2 linked regions of the Drosophila melanogaster genome follow. Changing the gene in region 1 together with any one later gene gives a genetic interaction. Each region holds a gene or a part of one and is shown in the gene's direction. Other genes may lie near its edges.

Evidence for each region.
Region 2: of Txl (region 1) and Ddc, changing one suppresses a phenotype caused by changing the other (phenotypic suppression), as found in Drosophila melanogaster (one study listed by BioGRID).

Annotation. Positions count from the first base shown.
Region 1 is NT_037436.4:5,760,442-5,767,584, forward strand, and holds Txl (Thioredoxin-like), read left to right. Parts: upstream 1-5,404; 5' UTR 5,405-5,568; coding exon 5,569-5,934; intron 5,935-5,991; coding exon 5,992-6,275; intron 6,276-6,334; coding exon 6,335-6,548; 3' UTR 6,549-6,643; downstream 6,644-7,143. Other genes in the region: Usp47 (ubiquitin specific protease 47), read left to right, coding at 1-168, 234-360, 419-489, 544-677, 733-943; CG10576 (uncharacterized protein), read right to left, coding at 1,970-2,083, 2,147-2,274, 2,607-2,832, 3,114-3,335, 3,993-4,155, 4,218-4,354, 4,646-4,743, 4,900-4,987; Ppat-Dpck (bifunctional phosphopantetheine adenylyltransferase - Dephospho-CoA kinase), read right to left, coding at 6,695-7,143.
Region 2 is NT_033779.5:19,113,851-19,123,831, reverse strand, and holds Ddc (dopa decarboxylase), read left to right. Parts: upstream 1-3,525; 5' UTR 3,526-3,722; exon of another isoform or gene 3,723-4,357; 5' UTR 4,358-4,414; coding exon 4,415-4,513; exon of another isoform or gene 4,514-4,590; coding exon 4,591-4,676; intron 4,677-5,703; coding exon 5,704-7,051; 3' UTR 7,052-7,349; downstream 7,350-9,981. Other genes in the region: Phb1 (prohibitin 1), read left to right, coding at 280-711, 1,015-1,413; CG10561 (uncharacterized protein), read right to left, coding at 7,420-8,926, 8,989-8,996; amd (alpha methyl dopa-resistant), read right to left, coding at 9,821-9,981.

The DNA of each region.
Region 1 (7,143 bases):
CAGGCCAAGAAGGAACTGGTGGCCAAGCTGCATCGCATAGACGCCAAGTACGCCACACTGTCTGTGCAAAACTGTCGCATCTGGCTGAAGGGCGGACGTATTCCCATCAAAATTCTGTCCGACGATGAAACGCTCTACTGCGACATGCGCTCCAGCATCGCAGCGGAGGTGGGTTCCCCTGTCTCTGTGATGAGAAAAAAACTTAACTTGGATTTTATATCACACCATTTCAGTTCATTGTGCAAGAGTGCGAGGAGGAAGTGGACCCGCAGCCCAAGGACGATTCTCTGACTTTATTTGTAAGACGGTGGTGTCCGGCTAAACTGGAGTTTGGAAAGTTCCAAGAAATCACTTTGGACCGTAAGTTAAATCTGTATATTGCCCTGTAAGCAGTAAATCGAACTCGTATCTTCTGCAGAGGACAGCGAAATCAGACTTTCATTATCACAGATCAGCGACATCCCAATAGACAAACTGAGCTATATGAAGGTTCGTAAAATTGCGTTCTACTGTGTATATTGATCTAATTGGTCTTCTCTGCAGTTGAACAGCAACTTCCCCTGCACAAGCATATCAGCGTTAAGTGTTAACGAGTCCAGCAGTTGGTACTCCGTGCCCACCACCCTGGACAAATATCCGCTTAATAGCACACAGACAGGAAACATCTACCTGTACAAGTAAGCGTGGAGCAAGTGGCAGTTCAGTTCCTAGACTAACCAATGAATTCAACAGAGATAGGACGGTACCTGCGCGAGAGCTGACGCTGGAGGAGCGACGCCTGATGAACGCCAGGGAGAAGGCACGACTGGATCGGGTGGGCTGCGTGTCCACCACGCGGTATGCGCAGCGCCGGGAACGTGCCTTGAAGATTTACCTGGACTCTCCGGAGAAGTCGAGCAACGTGACCGCCTCCGCACCGATGGACGTGCATGTCAATAATTAGTCTGGCGAGTAGAAAACAGTCGCGGCGATCATAACAAAAAAAAAAAAAGTACACCAAACCATGTATGTAAGCGACGGCAGACCATTAAATCCCAGATCCTCTTTTGATCACCGGCCACATATCTTTGTCGTCTGCAAGTGCTGCTCGTGTTTTCTATACTTCATCCGCAGCAATTGCGTTTTTTGTTGTTCTTTATTTTGTTTGACGCAAGGGAAGAGGTCAGCGAGTTGGGCAAAGTCGCCGTATACGGCATCGAATTGGTCTGGTCTTGTTGGGATTGGATCTGGGATGGACAACTGGGGTGGCCAAGTGAGCACAGCACTAAGTGACGTTTAACATAACGAAGTTATTCTTGCAACTTTCGTAATACAAGAGTTCAAAGATGAGACTGTAAAATTTAAAATAACAAAAGGCAAGAAATCTAAATTACAAATTGTATAATGTGAATGTGAACATCAAAACTAAATTAAACGTATAAAATAAACACAACTCGCAAGTGCATTTATTAGAATGAGAAGCGTATCGAAATCGAATTAAAATTGGGCGCCAGCGGAAAGTAAATAAATGAAAAATCGTTTGGCATTTATCGGCTGTTTTATAGAAAATGTTAATTTTATTTAATACCTACTACGCAGCGTTAATAACGTTTCACTTGAATTATATTTTAAGATCATTTAGCGTTAAAATTGTTACAATTTGATGACAGTTCTTGCTTTGCTTTTTCGTTGCGATGATGTTGAACAGACCGATAAACGAAGGCAGCTTATAGTAAAGGAAATAAAGAGGTAAAGTTGGCGCGGGACCGACCGACCGCCCGCCTTGTTGATGGATGGAGGATTTCTGGGGAAATGTATCCTCAAATTGTTGCCGTCTTCTCTTCTGTCCTGTTCTGTTGTCAAAAGGGTCCTCTAATACGCAACGAATTCGATAGTAAAAATCTGTGGAGCGCAGCGTTGGGCAGCGCAATTGTTCACATTGTGTTTCCGTTGATGGCTTGGCGGTGCGGATCATCATCAGCGGGCTGGTCTATGCCTTGGTCTCCACGGCCGGCGCCGTTTCCACCTTTGTCGCCGCCCCAGCTGTTGCCTTCTTGCCCTTACCCTTGCCCTTCACAGGACCCAAAGGCTGCGCGAGCAGAGTCTGCAAAAAGTTGAGATTTCATTGAGTACGCATCGTGAATACAAGGAAATTGTTGCAGCTTACCTTGAGCTCCTCCTGCGCAACACTGTACTCGCTCACATAGTTCTCCGCCTCGAATGGGATGCCGGTGACCAAGTTGACGCCGTTAGGCATGAGCAGAACCGTGTGCTTAAACTGCGCCACAATCTCGGCTGTAATGCAAGATAAGGAAAAGGATTGTTTAACTTTGCTATTACTTCCGGCTAAAATTCGAACTTTATAAAGGTTGCTCAAACTAGTTTAGTCTCTAAATTAACTTTAATAAGTATAAGAAAACAGGTTAATAGATTGGATACGATTGTGACAGTGCCATGTTCAGACAGAGGCCACACTGAGGCAACTGCTGAAGACGACAATGCCTGGAATTTGTTCTGGCAAAATGTCTGGCCGCACTTAGCACCCGAAGGTGTACCAGGTCCGGAATTAAGTTCTGCCAACTCGCATAATAGGGAATAGGATTAATAATAATATGCATCACACTTACATGGCTTCTCGTACAGCACTTGGAAGGGCTCAATCATCTTGTGGCCGACGCACTCAACAACTCCCATGCGGGCCTTGGTCTCCTCCTCGAAGCTGCGGATGTTGAATGGCATGTTTCCGTACTTGGTTTTCACCTCTGCCAGCAGAGCACGGGACGCCTTCATCTTGAGCATGTAGTTCTCCTCAGACTTCTTGTAAATTGAGACCTTGGTGTCCTTTTCGCGTCCCTGCAACGAATACGAATAATGTTAGCAATAATGCTCTGGCTGCGATGATCCAGGATCCAGCTTAAATTTGGCGTTCTCAGATCTCATAATCTTGCAATCTTCGGACAACAGCCAGCCGGAACTTGGTGTCTGCACGTGCCGCATTTTAGTATAAAAAAACGCCGAGCAAACAAGTCACTCTCGCAACAAACACCGCATTCCAGCAAAGTCAGCCTCAAGCGCGTGTTTTTAATCATCGAACAAATTAGTGGAGATGTAGTGTCTATTGATGGATTACTAACCACTCCTTCGCCGGTACTGACGATAACATCGATGGCATACACCTCGTACGTTTCGAAGGTGCACTTCTCATGCTCCTTGCGCTGCGCCTCGCTGGGGTTCTGTATGATCGTCTTCTCGCCGTCAATTTTGAACTGCTTCAGCTCGTGACTGAGCATGCCCTCAATGGGCTTGCACTTATACGACTCGCTGATTTGTTGCACTGCATCGGTGAGGGAGTAGTTCTGTAAGGATACAGAATTGAAACATAAATATTAAGTATGAAATAAAATGGAAATAGTTCAAAGCAGAGATAAAGAAAACATTCCAATTCCCTTTGACTAATCTTAATCAAATATCATAGTATACTATAGATAACGCAAAATAACAATAACTGATCGGCATTATCATTGCGATTGTGGACAACTTTAAAGACCGAACATTTCAAGTATCTAAACTTGTTCAGTTCACGAAATCGACACTGTTGATCTCTGCAGACGTTGAGCTGTGCTGAGCCACGAGTTAAGGCAGCAGACAATCCGTTGCCTGCAGATTACAATTCCGACATATCTATAAACTGGAGATGTGGACAAATTTAAAGACCGAACACTTCTATGGAATGAACTTGTTCAGTTCACGAAATTGACACAGTTTCTATCCGCAGGTGTTGAGCTGATCTGTGTCAGAGTTTGAGCGCAGTCAATCCGTTGCCTGCAGAAGAAATAACCTTGTGGACAACTGACAAGAAGCCTCCAGTCCTGAATAATAGGCCAGGGCAATTACCAGCTGCCACAGCTGATCTTTGCAAGTGTTGAGATGTTCAGTCGCTGGAGAATCGCGGCAGACAATCCGTTTCTTGCAGGGATTAACGGAGGATTACCTAGAAGTAAGGGAGGACTCACATTGGCGCCGGACTTGAGCAGACGTAAGGCAGCCTGGACAGCCCAGTAGGCGGCGAGGATGACATCGGCCTGGCGACCACTGATCTTCTGATCCGCAGCAGCGCCTACCACAATTGTGTGAGCGGCCACGGCAATGAAACCATCAATGTGGGCACCCAGATCGCTGTAGAAAAGAAATGTTACGTATTTAGTGGCGGTATATGTGGAATAGGAGGTTCAACTTACATTTTGACCACATCACCGGCCTTTAACGTGTAGTCAGCATCGTTTTTGGCTGGCGAGAAGTGGCAGACACAGTTGTTGACGGACAGACAGGTGGGAAAGGCAATGCCCTTCTTCAGGTCTTTCTCCTTTTTGTATACCTGTTTGTGAAAGATCGATAAAAGCATTAGATTGCTTGTTCGTTGTACTATATATCAATGATAGTGCGCGGTGTGTCCTCAGATCTCATAATCTGTAAATCCTCGGGACCTTTTGGAGAGCACACAAGCCGGGCACGTGGAGCATTGGAGTCCCCGCGTGCGCCTGGCGACCACGAGGTGATCCCCAGCCCGCACAGCACATGGCTCGCCATCGGGAAACCCTCAAAGGTGTAAGTCTTAATCATTGGACATGAAATTGGCGCGAATGACCGCCAGGTGGCCACCACTTACTTTGCCGGTCTCCTCGGTGAGCTGATTGTCGCCCTGGGTGCAGATCTCCCGGACGGAGGCATCAACCACGCAGAGTCCAATTACCGCCTTGAGGGTTTCTAAAATTAAACGAGCAGACAGAGTCCAGAAATAGGCAGATTAACCAACGCGTGGCGCACAAGGGAAAGCGGCATTCGGTGCATTGTGTAAGCGCCACGTAGCAGCGACTCCAGGAATCGGCCAGCGTTCGCTGTTTCCGGCCAAGGAATACTCACTGTTGACGATTTCGCCGGCCAACTTATACTTGGTCACCACCAAATCCTCGGCGATGGTCTTCTCGGGCTCCTTTTCCACATCTGCCATTGTACTTGACTCTAATAATTTTAAAATGGCGACTTAATGAAAATGCGACCGACTGAAACACCACGAGGTAATGAACGTGTGGCCAGGCGCAGCGCAGGTATCGAAAGTTCCAGTGGCGTGTATGGTGGGACCGCTCATTCGCCTTGACAACCCTGGCAAATGGGCGGTAAGCTTAAGATGAGCGTGAAAGCGTAGATTGCTAGTCGTAAACACTGAATGAATTTTAAATAACACTTTGAGCTATATCAAATGAGAATATTTCATAGTTTTACATATTGTAATCCACTAATATTTCAATAAAAGTTTAAATATTAAGTTTCGGTTTTTTTCTATTACACATAAATGGTCCCTCTAAAAATAGGAAGTCAAAGAGCTCGAAATATCGATACCATCACAGTGTGACCGCTTGTGGAATACCGCATTCGGTATTTTTCTTAGCACGAATTTGGACTAAATGCATATTACAAGTCATCTTTAACAAAAAAAATTTGCATTGAACGTTAATAATAACATTTACTTGCTTAAATCCAATTCGGCTGCCGAAACAAAAGCTCAATTAATAGAAACCTAATCCTATCACCATGTCCGTGCGCGTGATCAACGACGAGTCCCACTTCCAGGCGGAGTTGGCCCAAGCGGGCATTCAATTGGTTGTGGTGGACTTCACAGCTTCGTGGTGTGGTCCCTGCAAGCGGATTGCGCCCATCTTCGAGACGTTTCCAACAAAGTACCCAAAGGCCATCTTCCTGAAAGTGGATGTGGACAAGTGCCAGGACACGGCTGCTGGACAGGGCGTTTCGGCCATGCCAACATTCATCTTCTACAGGAACAGGACCAAGATCGATCGCGTCCAGGGTGCGGACGTCAATGGGCTCGAGGCCAAGATCCAGGAGCACATCGGTACATCCGGTGGCGAGGAGGGGGGCGAGGATTACGGGCAGGGATTGGTAATATAGTGCAGTATTTGGAAATGTTCCAAAAATAATCCCTAATCCTTCTTACAGATGGAACTGAATACATTTATTTCGAAGCAGGAGTGCGAGTGCCTCAACGAAGCTGATGACCACAACTTAAAGCACGCCCTGGCCTCCGCCGGTGGCTACCTGCAGTCCGATTGCGATGAGCAGCTCATCCTGTCCATCACCTTTAATCAGGCTGTGAAGATCCACTCTTTGAAGTTCAAGGCACCTTCGCACCTGGGTCCCAAGGATGTGAAGCTGTTCATTAACCAGCCCCGCACGATTGACTTTGACATGGCCGAGTCCATGAACAGTGTGCAGGATCTAAGGTAGCTATTGCCTTCTCTATGGCTGCTTAGCTCTTCTCACTGTTCAATCCATTTTGCAGCCTGGCTCAGAAGGAGCTGGAGAGTGGAGTGCCCGTGAATCTGCGCTACGTCAAGTTCCAGAATGTGCAAAACATCCAAATCTTCGTGAAGAACAATCAGTCAGGTGGCGATGTGACGCAGATTGATTATATCGGCTTCATCGGTTCCCCCATCATGACCACCAAGATGAACGACTTCAAGCGAGTGGCTGGCAAGAAGGGCGAGAGCCACTAAGGTTCCATTGAAATTTTCAGCGTTTTTCCCCAATGACGTCCCAGCATTTCTTTTCAACTTTGGACTTACAACTAAACAATATACAACAAATGCATAAAAAATCATACAAAATAAGGATCAACAAGATAATCTAAATATCCATCGGGTTAAAGGCTGCTCTGGTAAGAGTCCAGTTCCTTGGTAAGCATTTTCCACGCACGCTCCGCCTGTTTCTGGGTGAATTCGTGATCCCATTGCGAACTGAATATCACATGCGACTTGGCCACGATCTCAGAATTGGGCACCTGACTGGCCAGTCGCTTTTGGGCCTCCACTTCGCTCAACTTGTTGCGCTCAATAATCCGCCGCACAGCCTCATCCGGTGGCACAATCATGGACCACACCTCATGGCAATTGGTCTCCCAGCCCGCTCGCAGCAGCACCGCTGCCTCCAGGACCACCACACGCGGCACGTCCGCCTGGGAACGCAGTGCATCCAGCCGCCTGTTAACCTCCGCAATAAGTTCCGGCCAGACAATGCCGTTGAGTGCTTGCAACTGCTTGGGATCGGCAAACACCAAGGGTCCCAGCTTGGACCGATCGATGCGACCATCGT
Region 2 (9,981 bases), on another chromosome or scaffold:
TATTTCGTGTTTTGCATTTCAAAGAGCAAAATTGCACAATAATTTAATTTAAGTGCAACCAAAAACCTTTAACAAGTGAGTCTATGAGCGAGCCGAGCTAACTGCGTTTGAAGACCAGGAAGAACAGGGGATAAAAACACGCAAACAGCACATTGTCATTAAACCATGACGTTCTAACCTAAAAACTGATGAAATTTCCAAGTCCAGTCGGCTTTCATTTACATATATAGTTTATAGAACAGTAACTAAATACATTACGTTTGTTTTATTCAAAGGATAATGGCTGCTCAGTTCTTTAATCGCATTGGCCAAATGGGCCTCGGAGTGGCCGTTTTGGGTGGCGTTGTCAATTCGGCATTATATAATGTGGAAGGCGGCCACCGGGCGGTCATCTTCGATCGCTTCACCGGCATCAAGGAGAACGTGGTCGGCGAGGGTACCCACTTCTTCATCCCATGGGTGCAGCGGCCCATCATCTTCGACATCCGGTCCCAGCCCCGCAACGTTCCTGTGATAACGGGCAGCAAGGATCTGCAGAATGTCAACATCACGCTCCGAATCCTGTACCGCCCCATTCCAGACCAGCTGCCCAAGATCTACACCATTCTCGGCCAGGACTACGACGAGCGTGTCCTGCCCTCCATCGCGCCTGAGGTGCTGAAGGCTGTGGTCGCCCAGTTCGACGCCGGCGAGCTGATCACCCAGCGTGAGGTGAGTAAAAACATCAGGAGAGCCCTCAGTTTCTTTAGGATAAAGCTTTTTTGATGGGCCTTGTGTTTCACCAGAGGCGCTTATGTTTACTTAGTATCAGGTCATCAGATCTCATCGTATTTCACGCGTATTTTATTTTCGATTTAAATTTGATTGTGTAAGCAAGAACGCGATCTCGGCGCTTAAGTCTAGGCTTATTGCTCTTTTGAGAATTGAAGCTTAAGAATTGGATTATTATTCAACTTATGCAGTCGGAAATATAATACTTTCATGCCCGTACTTAACGTGATTACCTCTTTGCAGATGGTGTCGCAGCGCGTTTCCCAGGAACTGACTGTACGTGCCAAGCAGTTCGGCTTTATTCTGGATGACATCTCGCTCACGCACTTGACCTTCGGTCGGGAGTTCACGCTGGCCGTCGAGATGAAGCAGGTGGCCCAGCAGGAGGCGGAGAAGGCGCGTTTTGTCGTGGAGAAGGCCGAGCAACAGAAGCTGGCGTCCATCATTTCGGCGGAGGGTGATGCCGAAGCCGCTGGCCTGTTGGCCAAGTCATTCGGCGAGGCCGGAGACGGTCTGGTGGAGCTGCGACGTATTGAGGCCGCCGAGGATATCGCCTACCAGCTATCCCGGTCCCGTGGTGTCGCCTACTTGCCCAGCGGACAGAGCACGCTGCTCAATCTGCCATCGACCATCGCGCAGTAGCTGGGTGCATCTAGTTCCGTTAAGTTGTAACTACCTATAGCATTTACTAAGTACTTTTCGATTTTGTTTCTGCTGAAATATGCACTACTCTAAAGCGTTCGCGCCCGACTGACTGGAGAATACTAAGCGAAACAACCAAAATTTGTCTCATGTAATCGGTTTTTCCATTATCTTCCCGATCGGGTTCGAAATCCGGTCGCAGTGTGCGCTCCGAATGCGGCTCAACTTTTGTTGTTTCCGTTTGAGTCGTTCGTGTGCGCGTCCTGCTGAATTGGTCCTTAAGATCGGCACCGGGCTTAAAACAACTCCAGTAATTGAAAGAAACACAGACCGTAAGAAAATTTCATTATGTGAACAAACAATAAATGATAATCCCTACATGAGTGGGCTTTTAAATTGAGTGTGGTTATGGTTATGCAGGAAATGTTATTTAATTTATGAACTTTTACTTTCTTTTTACTTTACTTTTACTTTCCCAATTAATTACAGATCGATCCTAAAACGAATCTAATCACTTGCCCATATCATATAGATTTAGACAAAATACGTGACCTATTGAAGCTCAGCGATGTGATGTGTACACCAAACACCCGCTCGCTTATCTCGGCCCTTGTTTACCCCATATGATGCCTGTTTATGCAATCCCCCTCTCAAAGGCGCCATTCGACCCCTATAAGCGGAGAATACTTTCGCATTCATTCGCAACTCAAGATGGTCATAAATCAAATTGTAGTATTCTTCGCCTCAATCGACCCGAACTCCAGCCACCCGTAAAGCAGCATAATGTGGGTGGGTAGTTGGGCGACTGGTGGCTGGTGGCTGTTGGCTGGCGTGTGGGTGGAGCACCCAGCGCATTAAAATCGAAAGCAGAGCCGTTGGCATGGCGTATAAATCTGTTGATTCAGCCAAGTGATTTGCCAAAGTGGCTTCGTTGAAATGTCAGGCACACGCACTTTGCTCGCACTCAGCAACAGTTGGACCACCCGCAGGATTCTCAGCAGCCCTACACTGAAAGAAATTATTTTCTTTTGTCGTAGGCTAAAAGTGTTTACTTGATTCTTTTAAATAGTAATTAAAGGAAGATAATGATTTTCCTGTCGTATTCCAATATCATTAGCCGAGCCGATATACCCATGTTTGTCTGTCCGTATAAACTTCGAGATTTTGGGAACTTTAAAAAAAAAAAACGGTCACGAAAACAGTTTTGAAAAATATTTTGAATTTTTGTATTATATCTCTCGATATATTTGGCATAAACATTTAAGCCACATATTTATTGTTTCTTGCCAATTTCTATTGATATTTCAACTGAATTTTGAAATTCCGGCCAAGTAACTGGCATCCAAAAGTCGTTAGCTTTCTATAGTAATTTTGAATTTTTCTCAGTGTATGCGGAACTGCCCGCTCAAAAGGCTCAACCTAGCCCACTTCCCCTAGCACAATGCGAAAGTGAGTGAGAGCATTGGATTATTTGACGTCACAATTCCATGAGCGGTTCAAAAAGCACGTCATATGTGGTGCTCTAATAACCGGTTTCCAAGATGCGCGTAAAGCGTGCCATTCCACGGCTTAATCAATTTCTTGTCTTTCCTACGAATATAACTTTGTTTACATTTTTTTGCGTGATTTTTTCTTCGGGGAGTCCAAGAAAAACCCTGTTTCGAGTGACTCATAATTGGGGGATTCCTGACGAGATCGCTCTCTTTCCACAAATTCGAGTTGGGAAGCACGTGAGTAGAATTCAAAATGTTTTGCTTGCTGTTTTAAATATCACTAGGTTCTCAAACTAATTTCAAAAATAATCAAATTAAGTTCACAGAGCTGGCAAATAAAATGTAATAGCTTGCATGTATGTATATATATATATTTTTTTAAATTCTAAATAAATCCATGGAAAATAAAGCCTTTGATATCCAGTTACTGATTCAGCGCCCAATTAATGCATGTTCCAAAAAAGTGTCAAAAAACGTGCACAAATCAAACGAGAGCTGAATTTGTTTTTACGACAGCGGCTGCGATTCGAAGTTCAGCGGCTGCGGACTGCGATTGAACCGGTCCTGCGGAATTGGCAGCGCTGCTGGACGGGCTTTAAAAGCCATGGCCAAGAGCGGGCAGCGCTCAGTTAAGAGGAGAACGCCAAGCGCACAGCAATCAGCACCGAAATATCAGCATCGAAATATCAGCAAATAAATATTAGCTGTTCTAAACCAGGAGGGCAAACTGAACTTGGAGCAAAGATTTAGTTCGGAACGGAAGTAAAGCTCGGCAACAAGTGCAAACAATTAAAAGCAGTTAACTAAAGTGCAACGGTGAGAGACGAAAGTGTGGCTCCTCAACAGCCTCAGCTGCCTGAAGTGCTTGGCCAACATAATGAGTGCATGTGCATGCGAAAGATTCATTTCGGGGCTAACGCTGCGTATACGTAATGTGTATCTAAAACTGGGCATATACTATAGCCTTGCTTCGGTTCAATTTGATAGTTCGGGCCCCGAATTCTATAGTGCTTAAGCTTTTCTCGGCTTTCGGTATCTGCATGCTTTTGTGTATCTATTAAAATAAGATTTTAGCTGGCAACAAGTCGTCGTCTCAATGCCAACTTGTTTACGTTGTTAAAATTGGAATTTAGAAAAAAAAAAAAAATAAAGCAGTCTTGATTAATGCAAGAATGCATTAAACATTCTAATTACCATACTAATTCACAGCCTATACTTAAGCAGCGCACTCGATGGGAAAACGCTTTAAACTATTAATACCTTAATACCTTATTATTATAACTATTATCATCATCGTTTTGCCTATCAAGTAATTAGTATTCAATGTCGTTCATTTGTCGTGTTTGCAGCGATAGCATTTTTTGTTTGAGCTGCTGCACTGATTAGCACTATCTTCAAAAACGCACTTCTATTAATAACACTTTCAATAATCGCACATTCTTTCATATTAGCTCTAACCATTCGAGTTCATATCATTGCAAAAGTCAAACGAAAAGTAAATCTCTGAAATGAGCCACATACCCATTAGTAACACAATTCCAACAAAACAAACTGATGGTAATGGTAAAGCTAACATTTCGCCGGATAAGCTGGATCCCAAGGTTTCGGTATGTCTATTGGGTTTAGGTATAGAGCCAACAATTATGCACGTCTGATAACCAAATACTTTTGCATCCACATCAAGATCGACATGGAGGCGCCGGAGTTCAAGGATTTTGCCAAGACAATGGTCGACTTTATAGCCGAATATCTGGAGAATATACGCGAAAGGTGAGCCAGATTAAGACTCCCTACTCAATTAGCTTGAATTAAACTTAATTTAGCGTATGAATTTCATTTATATGGTATCAGAATCAGTCGCTTGACCTCAGCATTTTACGTTCGAATCGAAAGTTCGTTCTGCTCGATTCGAATCCCCGGGCAAGTGAATGACATTTCGCACACGTTTTGAGATTAGTCACGGGAAAGTCGCACCGATCGGACATTTCCATTGCTATATATATCTATATATATATATCATTTTGTTTAGGGGGTTGAGGCGACCTTCCCATTAGCTCGAGGGCCAAGTACTTTCGCTGCTCTTGGGCCGAAAACTAATTAATTAAATGGCTTTGTTGAGTTGGCGTGTCAAGGTCGTTTTTCATGTATACGAGTATAGATATAATTGCACTGCTAACGCCTTGGCCAAAAGCAATTCGGGTATTTCACTATTCTTGGGCAATTCTTCTAACGGCTTCGTTTCCATTACCTTGAAAATCAAAGTCAGCTAAGTAAACAATTTTCTTACTACAGCTGCTGAGTTTGTTTGCCCATCGACAGTCGCTGAAATTAATGGTTAATTGAAAATCAAGCTTAAGTAGAGCGTAATATAATAATTCATTTTGCTTTATTAAAGTTCCTTCGACATTGAAGTTTCAAAACTATTTTCTTAGTTAGATAACTTTTTAAACGAATCTTTGTTAATTGAAGATACATATATATAGAGAAATTATCTTTTTATTTTCTTTTTTCACCTCTTAGTAGTACTTCCTTTTAATTGAAAGGATAGAAAATCCCACCATCATTATCAGCATTGCCTCTCTATCTATATTCTGTTCCCATAGCAATTTGCTACATATTCGTATTGATTTTCATGGCAGTGGCAACAAGTTGGGGGTGGTTGGATGGGTGTCCTTCAACCCCAATGATTCCTGATGCCTTTGTTGGCTAACTGAGTTTCGCAGCCAATTAGCAAGGAGCTTTTACTGAATGGGCGCCAAAATGCAATCAGAAGCTAACGCAATTTTCGCAATTACAGGCGCGTTCTGCCGGAAGTGAAGCCTGGCTACCTGAAGCCATTGATTCCGGATGCTGCGCCCGAGAAGCCGGAGAAGTGGCAGGATGTGATGCAGGACATCGAGCGAGTCATCATGCCGGGCGTGACACACTGGCACAGTCCCAAGTTTCATGCCTACTTCCCCACGGCCAACTCGTATCCAGCGATCGTTGCGGACATGCTGAGTGGAGCGATTGCCTGCATCGGATTCACGTGGATCGCCAGTCCCGCGTGCACGGAACTCGAGGTGGTCATGATGGATTGGCTGGGCAAGATGCTGGAGCTGCCGGCAGAGTTCCTGGCCTGTTCGGGCGGCAAGGGTGGCGGTGTCATCCAGGGCACGGCCAGTGAGTCCACACTGGTGGCTCTGCTGGGAGCCAAGGCCAAGAAGTTGAAGGAGGTGAAGGAGCTCCATCCGGAGTGGGATGAGCACACCATCTTGGGCAAGTTGGTGGGCTACTGCTCGGACCAGGCTCACTCATCCGTGGAGCGGGCTGGTCTTCTGGGCGGAGTAAAGCTCCGTTCCGTGCAGTCCGAGAATCACAGAATGCGTGGTGCTGCCCTGGAAAAGGCCATCGAACAGGATGTGGCCGAGGGTTTGATTCCCTTCTACGCGGTGGTCACCCTGGGCACCACCAACTCCTGCGCCTTCGACTACTTGGATGAGTGTGGACCGGTGGGAAACAAGCACAATTTGTGGATCCATGTGGACGCTGCCTATGCCGGATCCGCTTTCATTTGCCCCGAGTATCGCCACCTGATGAAGGGCATCGAATCAGCAGACTCTTTCAATTTCAATCCACACAAATGGATGCTGGTGAACTTTGACTGCTCGGCCATGTGGCTGAAGGATCCCAGTTGGGTGGTCAACGCGTTCAATGTGGACCCTCTTTACCTGAAGCACGACATGCAGGGATCAGCTCCGGACTATCGTCACTGGCAAATCCCACTTGGACGGCGATTCAGGGCACTGAAGCTCTGGTTCGTCCTCCGGCTGTACGGTGTCGAGAATCTCCAGGCCCACATCCGCAGACACTGCAACTTTGCCAAGCAGTTCGGGGATCTCTGCGTGGCGGACTCCAGATTTGAACTGGCCGCCGAGATCAATATGGGATTGGTCTGCTTCCGGCTGAAGGGCAGCAACGAGCGGAACGAAGCTCTTCTCAAGCGAATCAATGGACGCGGCCACATCCACTTGGTTCCCGCCAAGATCAAGGATGTCTACTTCCTGCGCATGGCCATTTGCTCGCGATTCACCCAGTCCGAGGACATGGAGTACTCGTGGAAGGAGGTCAGCGCCGCTGCCGACGAGATGGAACAGGAGCAGTAAAGTGGTTGTGCAGGTCTGTTCCGTGTTTAGTATATAAATTAATATAGTAAACTTAAATTGGACCAGTATGATATATAATGCATTGTGACTTGGAACCCGGAACAGACCATACACTTTCCACTTGCGACATGTTTAGGGAATTTACATCGCAACAAAAGATGGTTCGTCCATCGCTACATTATATTTATAGTATCCTATCATTGTATCATTGATGTTGTTCATGATTTTTATTGTTAACGTTATGCGCCTAATTAAAACAAATGTATTCTGCTTAAAAATACAAACGAATTGTAACTATAAATTTTGACTAGTTTTCGTGTTGATATACACTGTACAATTTAGCAGCCCATTCGGATTTCCCATTGCACTTAACCGCAGTGCACGCTTTTCAGATAGTAGTCAATAATGCGTTGGGCTTCTCGGATGCCACTGGACCTGGCGGCATCAATGGTTCCAAAGCCTCTCAACGAGGTTGCATCCCCAGCAAAGAGCAGACCGGGCGACTTCTCGCCCAGCGGAGCGGCCAGTCGCTGGACATCCCGGGCACTGCTGTTGGTGGAGAAGTAAGGACGACCGCCGAGGTAGCAGGCCGACGTACTCCAGTTGGAACGCAGCAGTTCCTGTGGGTACGGCACCAGGTGACTGCTCACGCAGCGCCTTAGCAGACCAGTTATCTGCTCCAGCAGCTCCTCATCGGGCAGCTTCTCGATCTCCTCGTAGTATCCGCCACCCACATGCACCTCCAGCACATGCTGACTGCTGGGCACCTGGCTGATCTCCACGACCTGCTGCGTCCAGTTGCGTTCGGGTTGCTGCTCCACGGAAGGATTCAGAAGCGTTCCCAGTGGCCGCAGGCTTCCCTTTAGCCAACGCCCAATGGGCTTCTTGTAGGAGAGATATATCTTGAGGGGATTGCCAAAGCCGAGGTTGCGTATAGCCAGCATCTTGTCCAGCGGCAGCGTGGGTCGAAACAGAACGCCCGCAAAGCTTTTGAGCACGCCCAGCGGCAGGGTGCATATTATGTGATCGGCGTTGTAAAGACTGCCATCCAGGCAACCCACACTTTTCATCGGCGCTGGTGTCCACTGTATCTGGCCCACAGGCTTTCCGGTCTGCAGCTGCGCTTTGTCCATGTTCTGAATGAGATCGTCCACTACATTATCTAGACCAGTGGGCACATACAGCGGGCGCTGTTCCTGCTGCACTGGACACTTGGTTATGTGTTCGATGTTCACGTACTCCAGGCAGCATCCCAATATGCTGCCGAACTCCTTGAACAGCGATTGGAAGATCTCGCGTGCCGCCAGTTGATCCTTAGGATGCTGGAAGGAGACGCCAATGATGCGATCGCTTTCTGTTCTAAAGTAGTTCATGACATTGTCCAGCGAGTGCAGGTCACCACCCGTTTTAACTCGTTCGGAGACCTTGAAGCCTCGGCAAAGCTGCCGAAATAGCGTGTCGATAAGCTCGACCATGGCTGGATTGATGCGGCTTCCATCCTGAAGATAGGTGGCCCGATCCGGCTGCTTTATCTGCTTCCCCAAGCCTTCCGTGTTGCGTAGCAGTTCATACATCGAATCCTGCGATCCATCGATCTTTACCCACTTGGCGCCTAGTTCACAGTAGGTGTCACCAAAGCGCTGGGTGTTAATCCTGCCGCCATAACGATCTGTGGCCTCCAGGATCACAGTGCGCCGAAAGCCGTGCGACAAGAGGTGCTGGGCCGCCGAGAGACCGGCGAGTCCTGCGCCCACGACCACTATCTGGGTATTTTGGCGCGCCGCCTCCAGATCTGGACTGCGTTGCTTGTCGCCGATGTTATCCGCCTGTAGAACCCGTGCATTGTATAAGCTGCGCCTGCTGGCCAGTTTAAAACTGCGGGGAACAAGAGAAGGTTTAGTTTGCACATTCAAATCCGCTGGAGCTGTTCAACTTACCATTGCATGGCAAGCGGGCCTAGTTTCCTGGAGTTCCGAAAGTAAATCAAGTTATTTTTAGAATTTTGCCAGATTTTTTAATATTTGTTGACAGGCTGAGAGGCGTATAGGCCTTTAAAGTGCCACACGTCCAAGTTGTTTTTAAAAAGCAGAATCATAGTATCCACCACAATGGTCGCCGGTTATCCAATTGCAGTTTGGGTGTCTAATTCCAAACTTGGCTGAAAGGGTTATAGTAATTCTTATGTATTTGTATGTTACATATATGATTATTTACCTCACGGAAATCTGAGAATTCGTACAAAGGCGAGCCGCGGCTGCTTCTATTCTATATTTATGAGAAATGGCACTAAACGCTATTCAAAGCTAATCAAAATATTGAATTAAGGGAAACAGATATTTTTGTTTTGTTTATACTTTGTTATTTAACCGATATCAGGTGGTCCAATTGGGAGAAACAGCTGTTTGCCTGCGGATGCGACACTGACGATAGACCTTGGCGAACTTATCGAAGGGCGATGAAGAAGTGTATCGATTCATAACCAAATGCAGTCACACTAAGCCGCGAAAATTTTGGTTTTAAATTTTAAAATAAAGTCGACGATATTTGTAATGCTTAAAAAACTAAAGCCTCGGCAGAAAGTTTAACAGAGAATGTTGGGAACTTTTTCGACAAAAAAAAATGACAGGGAAAAACCACTCTACCTTTATAGAAAACGTGCCAAATGATCGTACATTTAATTTCACTTTATTTATAAACATGTGGAAAGTTAAAAACTACATCGCAAACTAACTAGGTTGTCCCTAAACATAAATAGTTTATCCGTTTTTCTCACTGAGATTTCTCGTGCGTTGCATTTTCGGTGCTCAGATGGATCTGGAAGTGCTGCGCAAGATCGCCGACGTTTCCCGATTTGCGGGCCACCAAGGATTGCTCCGCCTGCAGGTCCGTCAGTTGAGACTCGATCTCCTGCCAGGCGAAATCAATATCGG